Caenorhabditis elegans: one gene and its partners. The protein of the gene in region 1 purifies or fractionates together with the protein of each later gene. This does not show direct contact. Each region holds a gene or a part of one and is shown in the gene's direction. Other genes may lie near its edges. The genes, in order: egl-15, kal-1 and klo-1.

Region 1 (8,682 bases):
TTAAAAATTTTCGATTTGCTACTTTATAATTCATAAATAACACATCAACGATTGACGTTTTTTAGCACATACACTATTATAAACAAATTATGCTTGATACCGTTTTAGATTGGGTGTGGTCATGGTAAATGGCTAGTTCATGTGGCTATTCGAAAAGGATGCAAATTTCATCATGGATATACACGGCAGTTCAATCTTATTGGTCAAGGTATTTGGTTTATTAAACATTCGTGTTGCAATTCTGTATTTAGGAGTTCTGTTCTTCCAAGTTGATATGGCTGGTACATTACGGGACGACGGAAAATTGTGGCTTGACTGCCTGAATTAACAGTTGCCACACATATCGTTTAATGATAATTGTAAGCTTTATTGTATCCATTTCATTGTTTTCATTCAATTTTAGATTGCTTTAATAAATAGAAGAGATTTACGGCGTTAAATCATTTGTTACTTGTTTTGTCCTCCTCGTGACATTGAATGAGGTGGTGCCGTTCCACTGCGCGTGATATATGATACGCAGCCAATTCTCGGTAGACCCGCTTACTTCTTCGACCTTTCGCATTTAATTGCATTCTGATATCTATTTTCATATTGACCACATGTTGTTCACCTGCACACTGTCAAAATGACTCATTTACAATAACTTTTCGCGTTCGAGATTTATAAAGGAATGCAACACAAACAGGTGCGCGTAAATAAAGAAAAACCGAAATTGAATTAGCTTTTGCATCTAAATATGTCGCCTACAATTATCCCGTGTTCTATCATTTTTGGCGACTGACTGCCTTATGCGCAATGCCCAATCACTAACCCCTTTTCTTTTTAACGCATCTCTTTTCTCATCATTGTCCATTCTCGTTTATCTCTCCTTCTTTTTCTAATTCCCTTGATTTTCTCTCACTTTCTGATTGCATTTTTCTATATTGATTAGCCTGTAGACACATACCAAATACTCCAAAAAATAAGACCCACAGCAACAAAAAACCGACGCCTATGTTGTCGGTTACCGTCTCATGATTGTAATGCCCCCTTCTCTTTTTCTTATCACTCTTTTCTAATGGAATTCTTGGGGGCAACAAACTGGTTTAATGACAAAATTGAAACAAGAAATCCATTCACCTACCTGTTAAAATTGAGTAAATGATGTGACATTTGAATTAATTAGACTCGCAACTAACCATCTCGTATCCGCGATAAGCATCTCTTGGAATGTTGGTCACACCCTGTTGTGCAACTATTAAGTTTTGAAATTACAATTTTATAATACATAACTTCTACAAAAAAGTGCCTAGAAATCGCACAGATTAAATTACACTTCAATAATCAAAAAGCTGGTTTATAACTAAATGTTCTAATCATTAATCACAACCTAAGTTTTTTATGAACATTTTCTTTTTATTTTTTTAGGAATATTTAGATAGAATGTTTCACTAAAGAAGTATCTCATTATTTTGAAAACTAGCCTTATAATCTCAAATTTGATCTAATTTAAACTATTTTATATGCAATGTATGACGTTGGTTTTGAAAAGTTACCATAGCGTTATTACGCTTACATCAGCTGCTAAAATTTGTTTTTATTATACATAACGAGTTTTTATAAAACCTCAAATTGCTCTAAAAAAATTACATAACTCTATAACATAGCCGTGATCATTGAAAAGATAGACCCACTTTATTCGCTATATCATACTGCAAGACTAGCAATAAAAAGTTACATTGTGTCCGGAAATGTTGAAAGGTTTTTGTTTCCGTAACATATGCACTGCATCCGGAAGAAACACCTCCAGATGTGACTTCTTATTCAAGGTTTTGCTTCGATATCAATCGAAACGGCATTGTGTCATTCCACCTTGTCGGCGAAGACAACGAATCCACAACATCTTAACATCTGGACGTCTTTCGTCGTCTCAATTTGACGCTCGTTCACTTTTTACTCTTTTTATTATCGCCCTCCGCTCGCTGCTCGTTTTTTTTTTCTATGAGCAACATATGCGTAAATTTAGACGGTTCTAATTATGATTTGCTTTAGTTTCTTGATTGTTCCCAGAGATCATTAGACCTTATGACCCAGAGGGTCGGAACTTTTGAAAACGTTGCGCGGGTGTCGCCAATTTGTTACATATGGTGGTGGGGTATGGAGCCAGTAATATATAACCCATGGCTCGCGCAGAGGTACCAGTAAGAACCCAACAAATAAATCTTTGTACCGGTCTGATTCACCTCTCTCACATGTATTCAATTTCAAAAGTTTCACAGCTTCTCCTTCTGAGTGTTTTAATATTTTGATTATTAGTAGATAAATAGTAGATACAAAAGATTGCAGAAATTCGAATGTTTGCCTGATACATATCATCATGAGTTATTTCCTTGCATCCTGCCTCGGTGTGGGCTTACTTTCTACAGTTTCTTGTTCTCTTCAAGGATTGACCAGTCATTACAGAGGTAAGAGAGTTGTCACAAAATCTAATTTATTTTCATATTATTCGATTTTACAGAAAATATTCCCCGTTTCAAGCATGTAGCAAACGAAAGATACGAAGTATTTCTTGGAGATGAGGTTTGGTGGAACAAATATTTAACAGCAATAGATGTACACAGTTTTAGATAAAATTTGACTGTCAAACCGCGGCGTCAAAGATTTCTGCCTTTGTCGAATGGTATCGTAATGACAAGTTACTCAAAAATGATCAAATAGATAAAGACAAAATTCGGAAAGATAATAACAGGATGATGCTTCACTTGAAGAATATTGATGTTTCAGATCAGGTATATGATTTTTTATTATTTTTGTGGTTTTTTTTTTGTTGAACAATGTGGTTAGAACACCAAGTATCGCATTTCTCCTATTAGAATTGCATGCATTTCTATTTTTTTAATTGACAATTTAGAGTGCAAAGACTGATAGGAATTCAAGACTAACATACACTATGAAACTGTATTTCGATGTCTCGTTTCAAATTTGGTTTTTCTTGTTTTTAACCTAAAATACTGGAGTTACCTAAAATACCGTAAAGAAACAATACAACATGATAATTAAAATGATTTAATGTTTGAAAAATGTTTGGAATTATTAAAAAAAAACATTTAACCAATAAAAAATATCTTGTAGATGCTAAAGTTTGTGTGATATCTCTTGCGCGTGTTTAGTTCTGCAAGAATAATATGAAAGAAAATAGGAAAAAAAACTATAACCGACTACCATGAGTTTTAAGCATCATCAAAAATATATATTAATTCAAAAATACCAACAAACTGAGAACTTTTTTCAGCAGTTTTTGACTCTGTCAACTTAAAAAAAAACGTTTATTTAAAAACGTTTAAAAACGTTTAAAAACTAATATTTTTGCAGGGTCTTTGGTCTTGCCGCGTACACAACGCATATGGACAAATATCACGAAATTTTACAGTTGAAGTTATTGGTAAGTATCTCTATTGCTCGATTCTTTGCAGTGCAAGCATAATTTCTTCCATGCATGGTGTGCTTTGTTTTCAGACTTTTGTGATTACTTCCTGTTTCCCGATATTCATCATTTGAACATTCCGATGGAATGTGTTTGTTTATGGAAATACAACAAAGAAGCAAAACGATCTGATGTGAACTATGCAGCGGTAACAGGAGAAGTCTGCTCAAAGTACGCATCTCGCATGATAAATAGAGCACGAAAACCGTTGCCAATGATTCCTTGCTTTGGTGATCACTGCAAAGAATTTGACACTACTCCTGTTTCGGATTTTGGTTTACCTGGGAAACCCGAGGACGATCCTTTAGTAAAGCGTGTTGTTTTGAAAAAAGATGATGTGATTGTGCCCGTGCATGACTCTGAAGAAAGTCCATCCGAATCCAGTAAGTTATTTCAGATCCACTTAAACTGTTCGATTGGCTCACTGAGCATCGAGTATTCGATATTAGTCATTTATTGCCAAAATTGCTACCTCCTGCGGAAATGAGGAGAGTGAAAAGCCAATTGGGCGGATGGGAGAAGATGAATAATGAACAGAAAATTGTTCGAGCCAGGCACATTCTGAGATTAAGACAGATCAATCATGCTTTGGGTAGGCTACATCAGTGGTTGAATTATTTTAAATGCTTCATTTTCTTCTTATATATCTCAGTAAACTTGTTTTTAGGAACCGAATTTATCAATGCTGATGAAAAAGAAAACAAAGAAGACGAAGAAGAAGACTATAGTGTTTCACAACCGGTTGCTCCAGATGCGGGGCTCACTGAGCTGAATATTACTGCGGAAGAGCCACCATATTTCAAGTCAAACGACAACATTGTATTGTTTAATGAAACGCATGCTCTACCAGCAGGACGAACATTGAAACTTAATTGTCGCGCAAAAGGATACCCTGAGCCACAGGTACGATTCATGAAAAACTTGAAATTTTTCACGTAAAGAAACATTGGATTTTCAATCAATGCATTTGATCACAGATTATCTGGTACAAAAACGGCAAAATGTTGAAGAAAAGTAGTGCTCGGTCCGGCGGATACGAATTCAAGTTCAATAGATGGTCTTTAGAAGTGGAAGATGCTGTCGTAGCAGATTCTGGGGAGTTTCATTGTGAAGCATTGAACAAAGTTGGAAGTGCAAAAAAGTATTTCCATGTGATCATAGTCAACAGAATGAGAAGACCGCCCATTATCGTTCCGAATATTTTGGCTAATCAATCAGTAAGATTTTGCCTCACGGCATCTATAGTTTCAATGTTTTATATTTAGGTAAATATTAATGACACTGCCACATTCCACTGCAAAGTTGTCTCTGACTTATTGCCTCATATTATTTGGGTACGCATCAACAAAATCAATGGGTCGTATAGCTACTACAACAATTCAGCTGAAGAGTATATGTTCAATTACACAGAGATGGACACTTTTGATGTATGTTATGAAACATGTTCTCATCTATCAAAAAGTGTCGTTTCAGAAAGCGCACGTCCATCACGTTGGTGATGAATCGACGCTTACTATTTTCAATGTGTCGCTGGATGATCAGGGAATATATGCTTGTCTCAGTGGAAACTCACTGGGGATGGTAAGAAATTGATTGAACCTTCTAGTTGAACAAATTAAGAGTTTTACAGTCGATGGCGAATGCCACTTTAACGGTGAATGAGTTTATGGCCATACATTTGCTCACTGGTGACGAACCGAAGATAGATAGATGGACAACATCCGATTATATATTTACAACAATTCTGCTTTTCTTACTGCTTGCTGCAACATTATTTGGAATTTTGTTTATGGTGTGCAAACAAACACTACACAAAAAAGGATTCATGGATGATACTGTTGGATTAGTGGCAAGAAAAAAAAGAGTCGTAGTTAGCAAAAGGCCAATGAATGAAGATAATGAGAATTCGGATGATGAGCCATCACCTTATCAAATTCAAATAATAGAGACTCCAATTACAAAGAAAGAAGCAGCGAGAAAACAAAGAAAACGTATGAATTCAGAAAACACTGTTCTTTCGGAATACGAGGTTGATTCGGATCCAGTTTGGGAAGTTGAAAGATCAAAGTGGGTCAAATCTTTAATACATTCAGCCAGACAAGAATTCAATTTAAACATTAAATTTCAACGTTTAGATTGAGTTTGGTTCACATGCTTGGCGAGGGAGCATTTGGAGAAGTTTGGAAAGCAACATACAAAGAAACAGAAAACAATGTAATTTTGGGAAAACAAAAAAACAAGAAAATCTGAAATTTTAATTGCGTTTCAGGAAATCGCAGTTGCTGTCAAAAAATTGAAAATGTCAGCTCACGAAAAAGAGCTCATTGACTTGGTCAGTGAAATGGAAACATTCAAAGTTATAGGAGAACATGAGAACGTGTTGCGATTGATTGGATGCTGTACAGGCGCTGGTCCGCTTTATGTCGTTGTTGAGCTGTGCAAGCATGGGAATTTGCGCGATTTCTTGAGAGCACATAGACCTAAGGAAGAGAAGGCAAAAAAGTCCAGCCAAGAATTGACGGATTATTTGGAACCACGAAAAGCATCTGATAAGGATGACATTGTGAGTGGCTTATGTTTTGAATAAAATATGATTTTTTCCACTGACAAAATTTGAAATACTCATCAAACTTTGAAAATCTTGTAGAAAAGCGTTTTCCTGATTGCTCATTATCAGTAAACCTGTCTTAGTCAGTTTTAAATTTACCAGAGTAATTTTGCTGAAATTTTCATTTTTAGGAGCTCATACCAAATTTGACACAACGCCATCTTGTACAATTTGCTTGGCAAGTGGCTCAAGGAATGAACTTCTTGGCATCAAAGAAGATCATACATCGTGATTTGGCAGCAAGAAATGTTCTCGTCGGTGATGGACACGTTCTGAAAATATCGGATTTTGGACTATCGAGAGATGTGCACTGTAACGATTATTATAGGTTGTAACATTATTCCTAATGATATATTACTGATGATATATTACTTCCAGAAAACGTGGAAACGGCAGACTTCCCATTAAATGGATGGCTTTAGAAGCGTTGGACTCAAATGTATACACCGTGGAAAGTGATGTGTGAGTAATGGTTTTCTGTGGTAGAAAAGTTTCGTGGAGGTCCTTTCCAGGTTCACGTTTGAAAAAAATTGATTTTTCAATATAATCACATATGTCTTATTTGTCTTTTCACACAAGTTAATCATCCTGAGTCAACCTGAGCATCTGAATCGGGATAGCTGTATATTTATTTTACTTATTTTGGGTTTTTAGGATACAACGTTTTAGGATTTTAATTTAGGGAAAAACATTAAACATAAATATATTTGTGATATGTCTGAATTGAAGTTGTTTCCCGCCTGTGGAAAAATAGTTATAAAAAACTATTGAACGACAATTTAATTTAACAAAAAATATATTATTCAAATTTGAATATCAAAAAAAAAAAATACTATTGCTTCCAAAACTATCACTCTGTGAACAATGCATTCACCATTTTTCTTGGCACGCTTTTATTTCAGTTTTCCATTTACATTTTTTGGGGCAATTTTAGGGCACGACAGTGGTTGTGTACCAAAATTAATACTATAATGACTCATTGATACTTTTGTAGATGGTCATATGGAGTTCTCCTTTGGGAAATCATGACACTTGGTGGAACTCCCTATCCAACGATTGCCATGCCTGAACTCTATGCTAACCTCAAAGAAGGATACAGGTGAAAATATTGAGAAAAACATGCAAATCTCACCTGTCTGACATGTTTTTGCAGAATGGAGCCACCACATTTATGTCCCCAAGAAGTCTACCATTTGATGTGCAGCTGCTGGAGAGAAAAATTGGAAGAACGACCATCTTTTAAAACAATCGTAGATTATTTGGATTGGATGTTAACAATGACAAATGAGACTATTGAGGGATCACAAGAATTTAATGTAAGGTCATACATCTGTGACAACATTTTTGAGGATATTTTCCAGGATCAATTTTTCTCCGAAAGATCCACGGCATCAGGTCCAGTTTCTCCTATGGAGTCATTCCAGAAAAAGAGAAAACATCGCCCTCTTTCAGCTCCAGTGAATCTTCCATCAGAGGTAGATCAAAACGTAATTTCGTACATAACGTATTTAAATTTTAAAAGAATTTAACCTATGAATTCGGAATCCATAAAGCACTGTTTTTGCAGCCACAACACACAATTTGCGACGACTATGAGTCCAATTTTTCTGTAGAACCACCCAATGATCCGAATCATCTCTACTGCAATGACAATATGCTGAAAAATCACATTATTACACCGGAAACCTCTCAACGTATTCCATCAAACAACAATAGCATGAGCAAACCCGAATTTTGACCGTTTTTAGTGTACATCCACAAAGTGCTCAACGAACCAATCGGAAACGGGTATGTTCGACAAGATAAATTAGCTCGTGCCGTCAGCGGTGTTGCCAACCAATCTCTCGACTCTGCCCTCGGTTCACCAGCTTGGCCTTCGTACGACCGTCCCTCTAACAAAGCTTCTTGTTTAGGTTCGTTTTCAGTTCGCTACTGACATTTAAGTTCAGGGCAACGATTTCAATGAATTTATAGATGATGAGAAGCATCACTACTATTACTCATAGTAGTCTCTCCGCCGTTATCAGATGTCATTTAAAAGTCCATTGTGGTAATCATGTTTCCGTGTTGTGTGTTTTTGTCCTGTAACATTTTTGTTTGGTGTAATGGGTTGCAGAACATCAAATCACATAAGTTAGCTTACAGATTTGCCTCCGTCAAGTGTCCAGACTAACATGACACTTATAAATGTTGTGCTATGTAACCTTTAAAGTTTCATTTGCAGATCAAACTCACCAGTATTATAATACAACGTCTAAAATTCAATATCTTCATTTTACCTTCGATGATCCAGATTGTATGACTAGGCAAGTATCGAAACAAATTTTAATAATTAGTAAACAAACTTGCTAGATAAAAACAGCCAATAGAGTTTTTTTATTGTTTAAAAACTTTACATTAAAATAAAACCTGAAATTTAAGTTGATAAATATGATACAGTCACACTTACTATTAGTTCAAAAATGTTGATCTTTCAAAATCTCGAATTCAACTAGAACTTGAATAATTTTTCACACATTAATTCCATCACAATTAGTTCTAAACCTAAAAATTAAAAAGCTAACGTTTTAATTTCTAAAAGAGAAGAAACACTTCAAAATGTTTATCTTTA
Region 2 (6,035 bases), on another chromosome or scaffold:
TCCGATGACTCTGGACTGAAATACTTATTATAGATTCCTGAACTTATATATGTATTTATCAAGATTCTCACTAATTAAGTCCTAAGGGAGGCTATATTTTGAAAATGTGTGCACATAACTTCATTATTTACCTTCAAACATTAGCATTACTATAGATAAGCTGGTAAAATAAAATTGAAATTTCAAACTAAACCAGGCAAAGTACCTCTAAAAAAATAGAATTTTCTAAGAAATTTGAGCGAAAGTTTAAGTTTTCGGGAGAAAAAAAGCTTCATTTTCTGGCTTTTGAGCAAATTTTCAGCGTTTTTTCTACCTTAAAATTAATCAAAATAGGCTAATTTATAGCTAGTTTAGCAGACTTCAAGAGATTTTTTTAGCGAATCCGCTGAGTTACTTGATGCACCATGAGCTTTCACTTGAATTTTCAGAATTTTTTTGTGGTTTTGAATGTCTTTTCCTAAATTCCGAGAATTTGTCGATGCACCATATGTGGGTCATTTCGGCTTGATCTACGTAGATCTACAAAAAATGGGGGAGAAATAGGGCAGACTTCTCAACTGATTTCGCATGATTAAGAACAAAAAGAAATGCTAACATCACATTTTTTTGGGCGAAAAATTCCCGCATTTTTTGTAGATCAAACCGTGATTTTCAGCCTTTTTTTTTGGTCGATGCACCATGATTTTGTGAAGATTTTTGGGCAAGTTTCAGGGCTTTTTCTTGATTTTTCGATAAATTATTCTGAAATTCACCGTGTTAATCAATGCACCATAAGCTTTAAATTTTCAGATAATTTAGTAGATTTTTTTCGATGCACCATAAGCTTTTTTCCGGGGTCTTTGAATTATTTCATAGTTTGGAACGTTTTTTTCCCGCAAATTCTTAAAATTTATTGATGCACCATGTGTTTTATTCTAGATTTATTGCATTTTTTGTATATTTAAAGCCTTCTTCTATACATTTTTCAAACCTGTCGATGCACCATGAGCGTTCTTCTCGATTTTTAAAAAATTTTTCGTATAATAGTTTTGGAGGTTTTTTTCCCGCAAATTCCCCCAATTTATCGATGCACCATGAGCTTTTGGCCGGGGTTTTTGCAATTTTTCGTAGTTTTGAAAGTTTTTCCTCAAATTCCTAGAATTTGTCGATGCACCATGAGTGTTCTGTATTTCTCTGTGGTTTTGGTTTTAAACAGATTTTCAGACCATTTTTCAAATTATTATCGAAAAAATACGATCGCACAATTTTCTCATAATTTATTTTTGATCTACCTTGTTGATTAGGCTCCTCCCCTACCTTCTACAAGACAGCCACAACAAATTAACAACGGAAACAAGATTGGGGGCGGAGTCAAGTTCAACAGAGGTAGATCAAAAATAAATTATGAGAAATTTGTGCGATCGTATTTTTTCGATAATATACTCTTTTTCCTATCACCCTGAGCTCCCTCACCAAATCAGACTCTTCCCCTCTTCCTTCCCCCATCCTTTTCCTCCCTGCGTCTCTGAGAACGGATGGGCGGTTCTTTTGTCTCCATGCCCCTCCCATTTCTTGTCATTCCTCACCCCCCGTACCTCCTCCCTGGGCAATGAATTTAATATGTTTGTTTGGGAACGCGTGTATCATTTAGAGGCCCCCTATTGTTATTTGTCGTTTGTCATAATATTTTATTAGATTTTGGGGCGAATTTTTCCGGGTTCTACGGTCATTTTGTACAATTTTGGGTTTTCGTGGGGTTTTTTTTCTGAATTTTTGGCGGTTCCACTGGATCAGTCGATGCACCATGTGCTTTTTTCTGGATTTTCTGATTTTTTTTGTAGTTTTGAAGCCTTTTTCTGAAAAGCCTTTTTCTTTTTCTCAATGCACCATAACTTCTTTTTTTTTGAATTTTCGTAGTTTTAAAGGTTTTTTTTTGTAGATTTCCTTAATTTTTCGATGCATCATGAGCTTTTTTCTGAGTTTTTCTTAGTTTTGAAGGTTTTTTTCGTAGATTTTCAAAATTGATCGATGCACCGTGAGCATTGCCCTGAGTTTCTAACATATTTTTGTAAGGTTTTTGAGCATTTTTTGGTATTTTTTGTGTTATTTTTTAATTTAAAAAACGGAAAAAGATGTTAGAAACTTAGAGAACAACAGGGAAAGCTTAAAAATCACGAAAAATTCGAGAAAACTCGAGAAAAAATCATGGTGCATCGATAAATTTGTTAGTCGATGCACCATGTGCTTTTTTCCTTTTTTACATAGTTTTTATCGGATTTCTCAGCAGTTTTGAGCTTTTTGCTGTACTTTTCCTCATTTTTCTTCAATTTTTAACTCAAAAACTGCATTTTTACCCCCTAAAAAGCTACATTTATCTTCTTCTCCCCCTTCGCCAGTTCATAAAATATGCAAATTGGGCTCGTTAACTCTTTTAACTTCTTTTTTTCTTTTTTTTTTTTGCACATTTTTACTCTTACAGCACATGATTCTACTGCTGCTCCTATTCATATTGGGCTCCGTGAGCCCGGACGAGCTAATTTCGACTCGATGTCAGGCTCAATGCCTTCACTTGATGGATCAGAGGCTACAAGTGAGTTTTTGGAAATTGTTGGCTAATTTATGGGAAAAATTGAGCAAAAATCGATGCACCATGTCACAATCTAGGAAAGAGTCCTTATATCCATAACCACTTGGCTCTAGTACCTGTGACCTAGGCATATTGTCATTGTTTCATGCTCTCCAAATACCGACACACACACACATAGCGGCTCCTTTTCTCGGTTTTCAAGTGGATACCCCCCCCCCCCCCCCCGCCTAAATATACGACGACATGTAGAAGAACAAACATGTCAATCAAGGGCGAATTCCGGTGGTAGGAGATGTTGATAAGGGTAGACCTCCCCCAAAGAAAGTTTTGGGAGATTTACAAGCAAGATACTGTACAGTGTAATTTATGGGTGTACAAATAGAATTGATTTGGCGAATTTTCGGGATTTGGCGGGAAATTCGGATTTTTTTTTCTGGGGGAGTTTGAAGGGGATTTCAGCTTTTGGGAGCAATTTTCTGAGTATATAATTTGTCAGAAAATTCAAATTTCCCGCCAAAAAAATTACTCTGAAATTTTGAATTTCTCGCTTGAAAATATAGTTTCTTAGAAAATTCGAATCTACCGCTAAAAATTTGTTTTCTGAGGAAATGTTGAATTTCCTGCCAAAACAGTTCTTCTCAGAAATTTTGAATTTCCCGCCAAATTTTTTTTCACAGAAAATTTAAATTTCCCGCCAAAACTATTTTCTTTGAAATTTTGAATTTCCCGCCAAATTTGATTTTCCTCAGAAAATTTGAACTTTTGGCCGAACATGTAGCTTCTCAGAAAAATTGAATTTCCCGCCAAAAAATTGGTTTTTCTCAAAAAATTGAAATTCCCGCCAAAATTAGATTTTCAATGAAAATTTGAAATTCCCGCCAAACATTTTTTTAAAAAAATTTGAAAATCAAGCCAAAAATATGTTTTTTGACAAATTTGAATCTCCGCCAAAACTTTTTTCACATTTTCTACAGTAATACAGTTGCTGGCGGGAAATTCAAATTTGTAAATCATCTATTTTTGCTTTTTCCAGCCAAGACCATTCAAAAACCTAGCCCGCCAACTTATACGAGTCCATCGATACACCTTACGCAATTTTAGTACATTAAGCGGTACCTCTTTGTATATGAAAACATTAAAAGTGACTTGCGTAACGTGCTATCAAGATGGAGGTATTGGGTATTCAAAAAAGAAACATTGTTTCTTCTAGATAAAATCTAATGGAGGGGGGTGGGGGTAATAGCAGGGACCACTTCCTGCCAGCTGATGGGGGGATGGATACCTGACCTCCTCCCCTACAGGTGTCACATATACTACTCATTGTTGTTTCTAGATGTTGTAAACGATAAAAGTAAAGAGCAGCTGCGCGGGGGGGAATTGGGCTCTAAAACTAAATTAATGTGTTGTTTTTGTTGACTCTTACTAAGGGGGGATAGGGTGAGGGGTAGGGGGGAAGAGTCATAAAACTTGGTAGCTGGACCCACTTAATAACCCCTAGGAGGTCTCTCGGAATGTTATGAATAGACCCCTCTTCCGGTGTGAACTCTTCCCTATTGTCATATTCACACATTGTCCACACACACACACACACACAAACTTTTGTTCGAATAAGGAGGTCCGAGGTCGGCCAAGTGCACTCAAGAGTGCATTGATTTGGCCTTGGGAGGGAATTTTGGAGTTTTTGGGACAAATTTCCGGAAATTTGGGGGGTTTTTAGAAAAATTTCGCATCAGTTTTAGCCAAAATTCGACGAGTTTTATCTGTTTTATCATGGTGCAACCGGCCATAAAGGGCTCCTCAGTACTTCTATACAGTGTAACGAGTTTAGGACTGTTTTAGCAGTTTTAGAGTGAATTTTCACCGATTTTGAAAATGTTTAGGCTAACTTTTACCTATTTTGTCCAAATTTTGAGCTTTTAGGGGATTTTGATGATGGATTTTGAGGGAAATCGCAGGCTTTTTTGTGACATTTTGCACCATTTTTGGTCAAAACTCGGCAAGGGTTAACATGGTGCAACCGACTGTTCAGGGTGTCTAAGTGATTCTACACAGATTTTAGTGATTTTTTTGAAAATTTAATGTTTTTAGAGCAATTTCTCCGTGTTTTCAGCTAATTTGTTGGGCTAATTTACACATATTTTATCCAAATTTTGAGATTTTTCTAGATTTTTTGGGTGATCTGAACAGATTTTGACAGTGTTTGGGTAGGTTCGAGCTACTTTAAGCTGATTTTTCTGATTGATTTTTGATAGCTGATTTCGGTTAATTCCACATGCTTTAAGCTAATTTTCTCCGCTTTTGAGAGCCTTCAGGCTGTTTTTCTCCCAATTTTCAGAATTTTGAACCATTTTTCGACCTTGTCCATGACTTTTTATGAGGTGTGAAAAATTTCAAGAGTTTTCAAGCTAGATTTTCTGTTCCTTTTCTGCAAATTTTGATAATTTTAGACCAATTTAAAGCATTTTTAAGATACTTCAGTTCCAAAAATTCTTTAAAAATTCCTAAAAATCAGGTGACATCAGTTTCAATTTAAGCATAATTTAGCCCAGTGGGAACCAATTTTTTACTTTAGCCAATTTTTACCGTACCCCACCGTATCAGTTTCAAGACCACCGTACCGCGCGCAATTTACAACCTACTCGCTTCTCTTACTGACAACCGCTGTTCATGATTTACTGCGCGCATCAGGGCCAAGAAATTGTCACGCATCACAAACTCGACGGCAATTAGTTTTATGGAGAGACCCCTCCGCGTCTTCATTCGGATTTAGATTCCAATCTCTTTCTCAACACTACTACTACTACTTTTCATTTTGAAATCTCTTGAAAAGGAATGTGGTGGGGTAATAATTATAATAATGAATATATATTCATATAGAAGGTTCGGATTAAGGCAAAGATATTGGAAAAGGGGGAAGCTCTGCTGGTGTGAGGTCAGGTATATGTTAGTTTGGCGGCTCCTTTCCTCTTTTTTGCTCTAACGAACATCATCAATCAGTGACAATGACACGCGCTGTCGGAGGTCAAAAAGAGAGTGACTTTACTACTATGCTTTGCTAACGAAAAAAGTTAGTTAGTAGTTTGTGGGGGGACCTTCTCAATAATTAGGGGTTTGGTGGAGAGAAGAAAAGACATGAAAAAGAAGAGAAAAAAGTACGAATTGAAGGTCCTGGGGAGCAGAAATCTAGTGACTTTGGGGGTCTAGGGAGTCTAGGTTGGCCCTAGTTTGGTTAGGGTCAAAGCTGGACGGTCGGCTTGAAATGGGTGTTCTAAAAATCTAGATTGGCCTCTAAGCTTGTAGGAGACCAGGGAGGCTTTGCAAAAAAAACCATGAGCTTGATAGAGGTCTACTGAAGGCCTAAATTAGCTTAGACCATTTGGTTGAAGAAATACGTGCTCCCTGAGATCATGGATCCTGAGATCACTAGGACTCGGCATGGTAAGGCTTTTTTGGCTGGTGCACCTTAGGG
Region 3 (5,492 bases), on another chromosome or scaffold:
TGTTGTATTGAAATTCCTATATAAACCCACCTAGTTTATAGGAATCCCGTCGAATCAACATTGCACAACTTCAACACATTATTTACAAAGAATGGTTGCCAGTGGTTCTTGGTTGCCAGAATATGGAAAAATGGGGTCTAATGCCACAAACAGCTGGATATTTTGAGGGTTACGATGATCAATGTGATGCCACAATATCCCAAGAAATGTCAACATCTGCATTTCGATTTGGACATTCTTTGATCCGTGGTGTATTCACACGAATGAATGACAATTTCCAAAACATGACAAATCATGTAAATTTAACTGAAACTTTTTCGAATCCATCTCCAGTTTACGATAAGAACTCCGGTCATATGGAGTCAATCTTAATGGGATTAATTGGAGCAAACAGTATGGCTTTTGATCGTCATATTGTCACGGCTGTTCGGAATCATTTGTTCGCAAAACCTGGTGGTCCACTAACTGGACTGGATCTTCCAGCAGTGAATATTCAAAGAGGCAGAGATCACGGAGTTCAAGGTTACAATGCATATAGGTTTGTATTTCAATTTAAATTTTATAAAACCGGCAGTAGATGAAAATGCCTACATTTGTGGCGCGAAATGTCTCCAAGCATATCTTTACGTTTTGCGTCAACCGTTTCTGTCATCACAATTTAGCAATTTCCCTAGTTGTTCACTTGGGTTTCTTAGGCGAAATATTTAACACATAATTACGAGATTAAGTGGTTAACCTCGATGGGTATCGGCTGAGCATATTGTTCGCATGTAAACATTTCAAATTTATATTTTAAGAAGTATTTCAGAAAACACTGTGGACTTCGAAAAGCATCGGCTTTCTCTGATCTTCGTGATGTCATGAACTCAGAAGCTGTGACAGCTTTAGAAACAGCTTATGCTCATGTTGACGACATTGACCTGTTCCCGGGAATCATGAGTGAATCTCCAACTAGAGGTGACCCGGAATTTCTACTTGTTGCTTTTTTAAAATAATTATTAAGGCTCACTTGTTGGCCCAACATTAGCATGTCTTATTGGTGAACAAATGCAAAGATTGAAAAAATGCGACAGATTTTATTATGAGACAAGTGATTCAATGGTTCGATTTACTCCAGATCAACTTGTCGAAATTCGAAAAGCCAGTTTGTCAAGAATTATTTGCGATAATAGTGAATATGCCGCAAATATTCAACCCAATGTGTTCCTTATGCCAGACGATCTTACGTAAGTTGGAGATTTATTGAACAGGTCTATAAATGATCATTTTCAGTTTAATAAACATTTTTAAAAAATTTAAAAAAACAGTTTTCTTATTAATAATTAGTTCAAAAACTTAAATATAATTTTCAGAAACTCTCCGATGACATGCTCTGAACTTTCTGAGATTGACCTGAACAAATGGGTTGAACGAGACTATTGCCTTGTTGATGAACGTGTAGTTAATCGTGGAAAAACTAAACGAATAACTCCATGTATCACCTGTACATGTACATTAGAAGGTCCTGAATGTCATTCAATCACAATTGATGATTGTTCTCGTCTTCTTCGTGATTACTCAATCACTGATATTCAAAAGGATCCAGTTTGCCTCATTCAATGCTCTCAGCAACTCAAAAAGCTTTGAAATAATTTATTTATTTTTTATCAAACTCTAATTTTGATATTCTGACCTCTTACAGTATTCGTTCAAACCTTCTGGTATTCCATTTCATGTACATAAATAATATGATTTTCCATACCTCTATTATCAGGCACAAACAATGTTCATTTACATAACCCGATTGAACACAACTGTTGACACACAAAATACCTCTTATCAGTTATCATTCCGTCGATGTCTTGTTCGGTTATGTCTTTGCCAACTAAATTTCCAAAAAATTTCCAATTGGCTACGGCTACCGCGGCGTATCAAATTGAAGGTGCAAAAAATCTAGATGGTAAGTTTATTTTGAATTAAAAATTATTCTTTTAGAAATTTACTTCTGAAATCATTAAGGCCGCGGATTCAGTACTTGGGATTCAATTCGTTCTGAAAATGGTAGAATTCATGATAACTCGGACCCTGATCTTTCCTGTGAAGGTCGTCTAAAATACAAAGAAGACGTTGCTCTTCTCTCAAAAATCGGTGTCACCAGCTACCGATTTTCAATTTCTTGGTCCAGAATTCTTCCAGATGGAACTTTAAAAACAATAAATGAAGATGGCATTCAATTCTATCGTGATATTTGTCTTCTACTACGTGACAATGGAATTGAGCCAATTGTATGTAATAATTTCTTTGAAACATAAAAAAGCGAAAACATGTTATTTAGGTGACACTGTTCCATTTCGACATGCCTCTTTCAATTTATGACAATGGAACATCATGGCTAAACAAGGAGAATTGTGAACATTTCGAGAAATTCGCAGATTTATGTTTCCAAAAGTTTGGAGATCTTGTGAAGACATGGATAACTTTCAACGAAATAAACATGCAGGCTTGGTCATCAGTTGTAAAGATTGAAGGAGAACTTTGGTTATGCCCAGATCGTCCAGAAATCGAGAATCATGAACAAGCACCTTACATGTCAGTTTCTGAAGAAAAAAACCTTTGAAAGCGAAGGAAAAAACAAATGTTTTGGAATAAGCTGATTGAATATTTTATTTTCAGTGCAGCCACCAACATGCTTCTTACTCACGCAAAAATTTATCGAAACTACCAGAAAAACTACAAAGAAACTCAAAATGGCTTGATCGGAATAACAAATGGTGGAAGATTCTGTCTACCTGCTTCAGATTCTCCTGCAGATCTTGATGTTAGTCAAACTATTGACTTCCTTACTTTAATGATTTGCAGGCATGTAATCGAGCGCTGGATTGGCTCTTCAATTATACAATTGAACCAATTTTGACTGATTCCGGAGACTTCCCAGCCTCAATGAGAGAAAAATTACCGTTTCTACCAAAGTTCTCTGAAGAAGAAAAGAAACTCATCAAAGGTTAGCTGTCGATCGGAAATTTTTGATTTTAAAAAGATTAGTTAACTTTTTTTTTCTAAGTTAGCCTTGCACCATATTGGCAGCTCTAAATTCATTTTGCTGATATATTTTACCAATTATAATTTTCAATTTTTTTCAATTATAATTTTTTCAGGAAGCACTGATTTCCTGGGAATAAACTATTATCTCAGCCACATTGTTCGTAATTTAAATGATGGGGAGGAGCCAGCATCTCAATCAGAAAGAGACGCAGCTTATGCGTTTAATGAAGGAAAATGGGAAAAGTTGGTTTTTTCAAGTTCTCCTATAACCAAGAAATTTGCAGAATTTGTGGTGAGACATGGGTTCGTTATGCACCAGACGGTTTGTTCGGGCTTTTGAAATATGTTAGAGACAAGTACAATAATATTCCTGTATTCATCACTGAAAATGGATGTATGGATTTGGTAGGAGGTGAAGGAAGAAAAGAAGAGGAGATACTTGATGATAAGCATCGCATAAAATTTATTTCCGGACATTTGGAAGCGGTAGCTAAAGGTAAATTAAATTTGAAAAAAGTTTCGAAAAATAAAAAAACAATGATATTCAATTAATTTTTGGGAAACTTCGATCACTTGAATTTCAGCACTGGAAGAAGGATGTAATGTCATTGGCTACACACTCTGGACTCTGATGGATAATTTCGAATGGGATGACGGATTCGGTGTTAAATTTGGAATTTGTCGCGTCGATTTTGATTCTCCAGACAAAACAAGAACCATGAAATATTCGGCTAAATATTATCAAACTTTTATTCGCGAATTTAAAAAGCATCATAATCTTTTGTAGAATGGATACAAATGTATTGATAATAAATAGATTGCATGCTAGTAAAAACATTTAAAGCATTTGTGATGGTTGAAACAATAGAAAACACGTGGAAATGGAAAACCGTAATTGAAAAAAGGAACATGGAAAACGTTTAGTTGTAGGAAACAGTTGATTAAAAAAAAACTTTCTCTATTGTTGATTAATACACTACATAATTTTTTAATTCAATCCGTAATAATGTTTTCATGTTTTCGAATACCTAAGATTCTGAAAATGTTTGAACTCCTAACGTTCTAGATATAAAAATATTCATATTCAATGATTTTAAAAAGTTTAACAATCAGAAGTAGATCTTTCCACCTGTTTTCCATCTAGTTCAATAAGTAAACTAGATGCTCCACCTAAATTTGTTGGTTCAGTTCCAAAATTAGACATTGAAATTGTTGCAGTTGATTTGAAGCCACGAGAGTGACGACGGAGTATTGTGCTTCGGACTCTTTCGTATCTGAAAATATACCGATTATTTGAAAATAAATTTAGTCTTAAAAATAAACGTTAGAAACGCATTTTACAGGAAAATGCATTTACAAGAGATAAATAATACATTTGAATAAAACTAATAAATACAAAAGAAGTAAACTAAAAGTGTCAAAAGCTTTTGCTCACCTTGTCTTACATGGCATCAGTAATATACTTTTGAAAGCTCTTCTGTACTTGTGACTGTATGCAATATAAATTATTGGATTTAAAGAACTCGATAGTAATGACATCCATTGGAATATTGGCCGAATCAACTGAAATTCTTGCTTTTTTAATAAGATAAATATGTAAACAGCTACCATTGAAGTAATTTGAAAAAGATCCGATCGCTGATCAGCAAAGAAGAAAAAATATGTGAAGATGCAATAGAGAGGTAACCAGCAACAAGCAAATACAATTATTACTGTTAACATCATTGTGGCAACTCGTAGTTTTACTCGATCTTCTCGGGCCTAAAAATATTAATATCAATTTACACATAGAAATTTAATGGAATCATTCTAATATCTAGTTTTTGCTAAAAATTTAAAAGAGCCTCGTAAAATAATTTCTTGGCTATCGATTTTTTTGATTTGTTTAAAAATATATAAAACTTACTCTTGCATCAACTGCCAGACTTCTATGTGTTGATACAGTGATAAATATTCTCGTGTATAGACCCGAAATCAAACCAAATGGAACTATGAAAGCCAGCAATAAGTTAACAAATAAAAAATATAATTTTTGATCCGTTTGTGACGTACATAATCGGTAACCATAACTGCCTTCTTGCCATACTATCTGAAATGCATTTTTTGAAAAAAAAACAACGATTTTAAATTTATACCAAATCATAGTTATACCAATTAGGTATTCCGAATATTGCAGCTACTAGCCAAACAGCAAATATAACATATTTTGTATATTCTCGATCCCAGCTAGTGTTGTATTTCAACGTATGGCAAATAGCTAGATAACGATCAGCCGTCACTGCAACCAAGGTGTAAACTGATGCAAATGACGTAGATGCGTTAGCCCATGTGGACAATCGGCAGAAAAATTGACCCCAAAGCCATTCTGAAAATATAAAGCTGTTTTCATTAAAAACGGAAATTTTGCCAAAATATCCCTATAATAGTCTTTTGAGAACCACTTTCAAAAAATGTCAAAATTCTCTGTCAAA

The links.
Region 2: the proteins of egl-15 (region 1) and kal-1 purify together in Caenorhabditis elegans (affinity purification with western blotting, with the first as the bait; one study listed by BioGRID). This does not show direct contact.
Region 3: the proteins of egl-15 (region 1) and klo-1 purify together in Caenorhabditis elegans (affinity purification with western blotting; one study listed by BioGRID). This does not show direct contact.

Annotation. Positions count from the first base shown.
Region 1 is NC_003284.9:11,014,085-11,022,766, forward strand, and holds the start of egl-15 (receptor protein-tyrosine kinase), read left to right. Parts: upstream 1-2,315; 5' UTR 2,316-2,356; coding exon 2,357-2,444; intron 2,445-2,497; coding exon 2,498-2,559; intron 2,560-2,606; coding exon 2,607-2,768; intron 2,769-3,351; coding exon 3,352-3,421; intron 3,422-3,495; coding exon 3,496-3,846; intron 3,847-3,860; coding exon of another isoform or gene 3,861-4,055; intron 4,056-4,130; coding exon 4,131-4,366; intron 4,367-4,440; coding exon 4,441-4,680; intron 4,681-4,728; coding exon 4,729-4,890; intron 4,891-4,936; coding exon 4,937-5,044; intron 5,045-5,093; coding exon 5,094-5,530; intron 5,531-5,598; coding exon 5,599-5,677; intron 5,678-5,732; coding exon 5,733-6,026; intron 6,027-6,202; coding exon 6,203-6,399; intron 6,400-6,449; coding exon 6,450-6,533; intron 6,534-7,065; coding exon 7,066-7,170; intron 7,171-7,224; coding exon 7,225-7,387; intron 7,388-7,432; coding exon 7,433-7,546; intron 7,547-7,638; coding exon 7,639-7,765; coding exon of another isoform or gene 7,766-7,809; and 8 more. Other genes in the region: F58A3.3 (RHDF1), read left to right, coding at 109-208, 252-328. UniProt on the Caenorhabditis elegans protein: Receptor tyrosine kinase required for larval development. May phosphorylate adapter protein soc-1 which in turn may result in the recruitment and/or activation of phosphatase ptp-2.
Region 2 is NC_003279.8:14,138,631-14,144,665, reverse strand, and holds the start of kal-1 (WAP-type 'four-disulfide core), read left to right. Parts: upstream 1-2,458; 5' UTR 2,459-2,461; coding exon 2,462-2,569; intron 2,570-6,035.
Region 3 is NC_003282.8:7,744,348-7,749,839, reverse strand, and holds klo-1 (Glycoside hydrolase family 1 protein), read left to right. Parts: upstream 1-1,838; 5' UTR 1,839-1,851; coding exon 1,852-1,939; intron 1,940-1,998; coding exon 1,999-2,264; intron 2,265-2,314; coding exon 2,315-2,568; intron 2,569-2,652; coding exon 2,653-2,797; intron 2,798-2,838; coding exon 2,839-2,980; intron 2,981-3,134; coding exon 3,135-3,264; intron 3,265-3,305; coding exon 3,306-3,517; intron 3,518-3,605; coding exon 3,606-3,808; 3' UTR 3,809-3,861; downstream 3,862-5,492. Other genes in the region: C46A5.4 (Peroxidase), read left to right, coding at 42-538, 809-957, 1,004-1,226, 1,353-1,626; npr-35 (G-protein coupled receptors family 1 profile domain-containing protein), read right to left, coding at 4,124-4,295, 4,457-4,584, 4,630-4,782, 4,928-5,110, 5,157-5,386.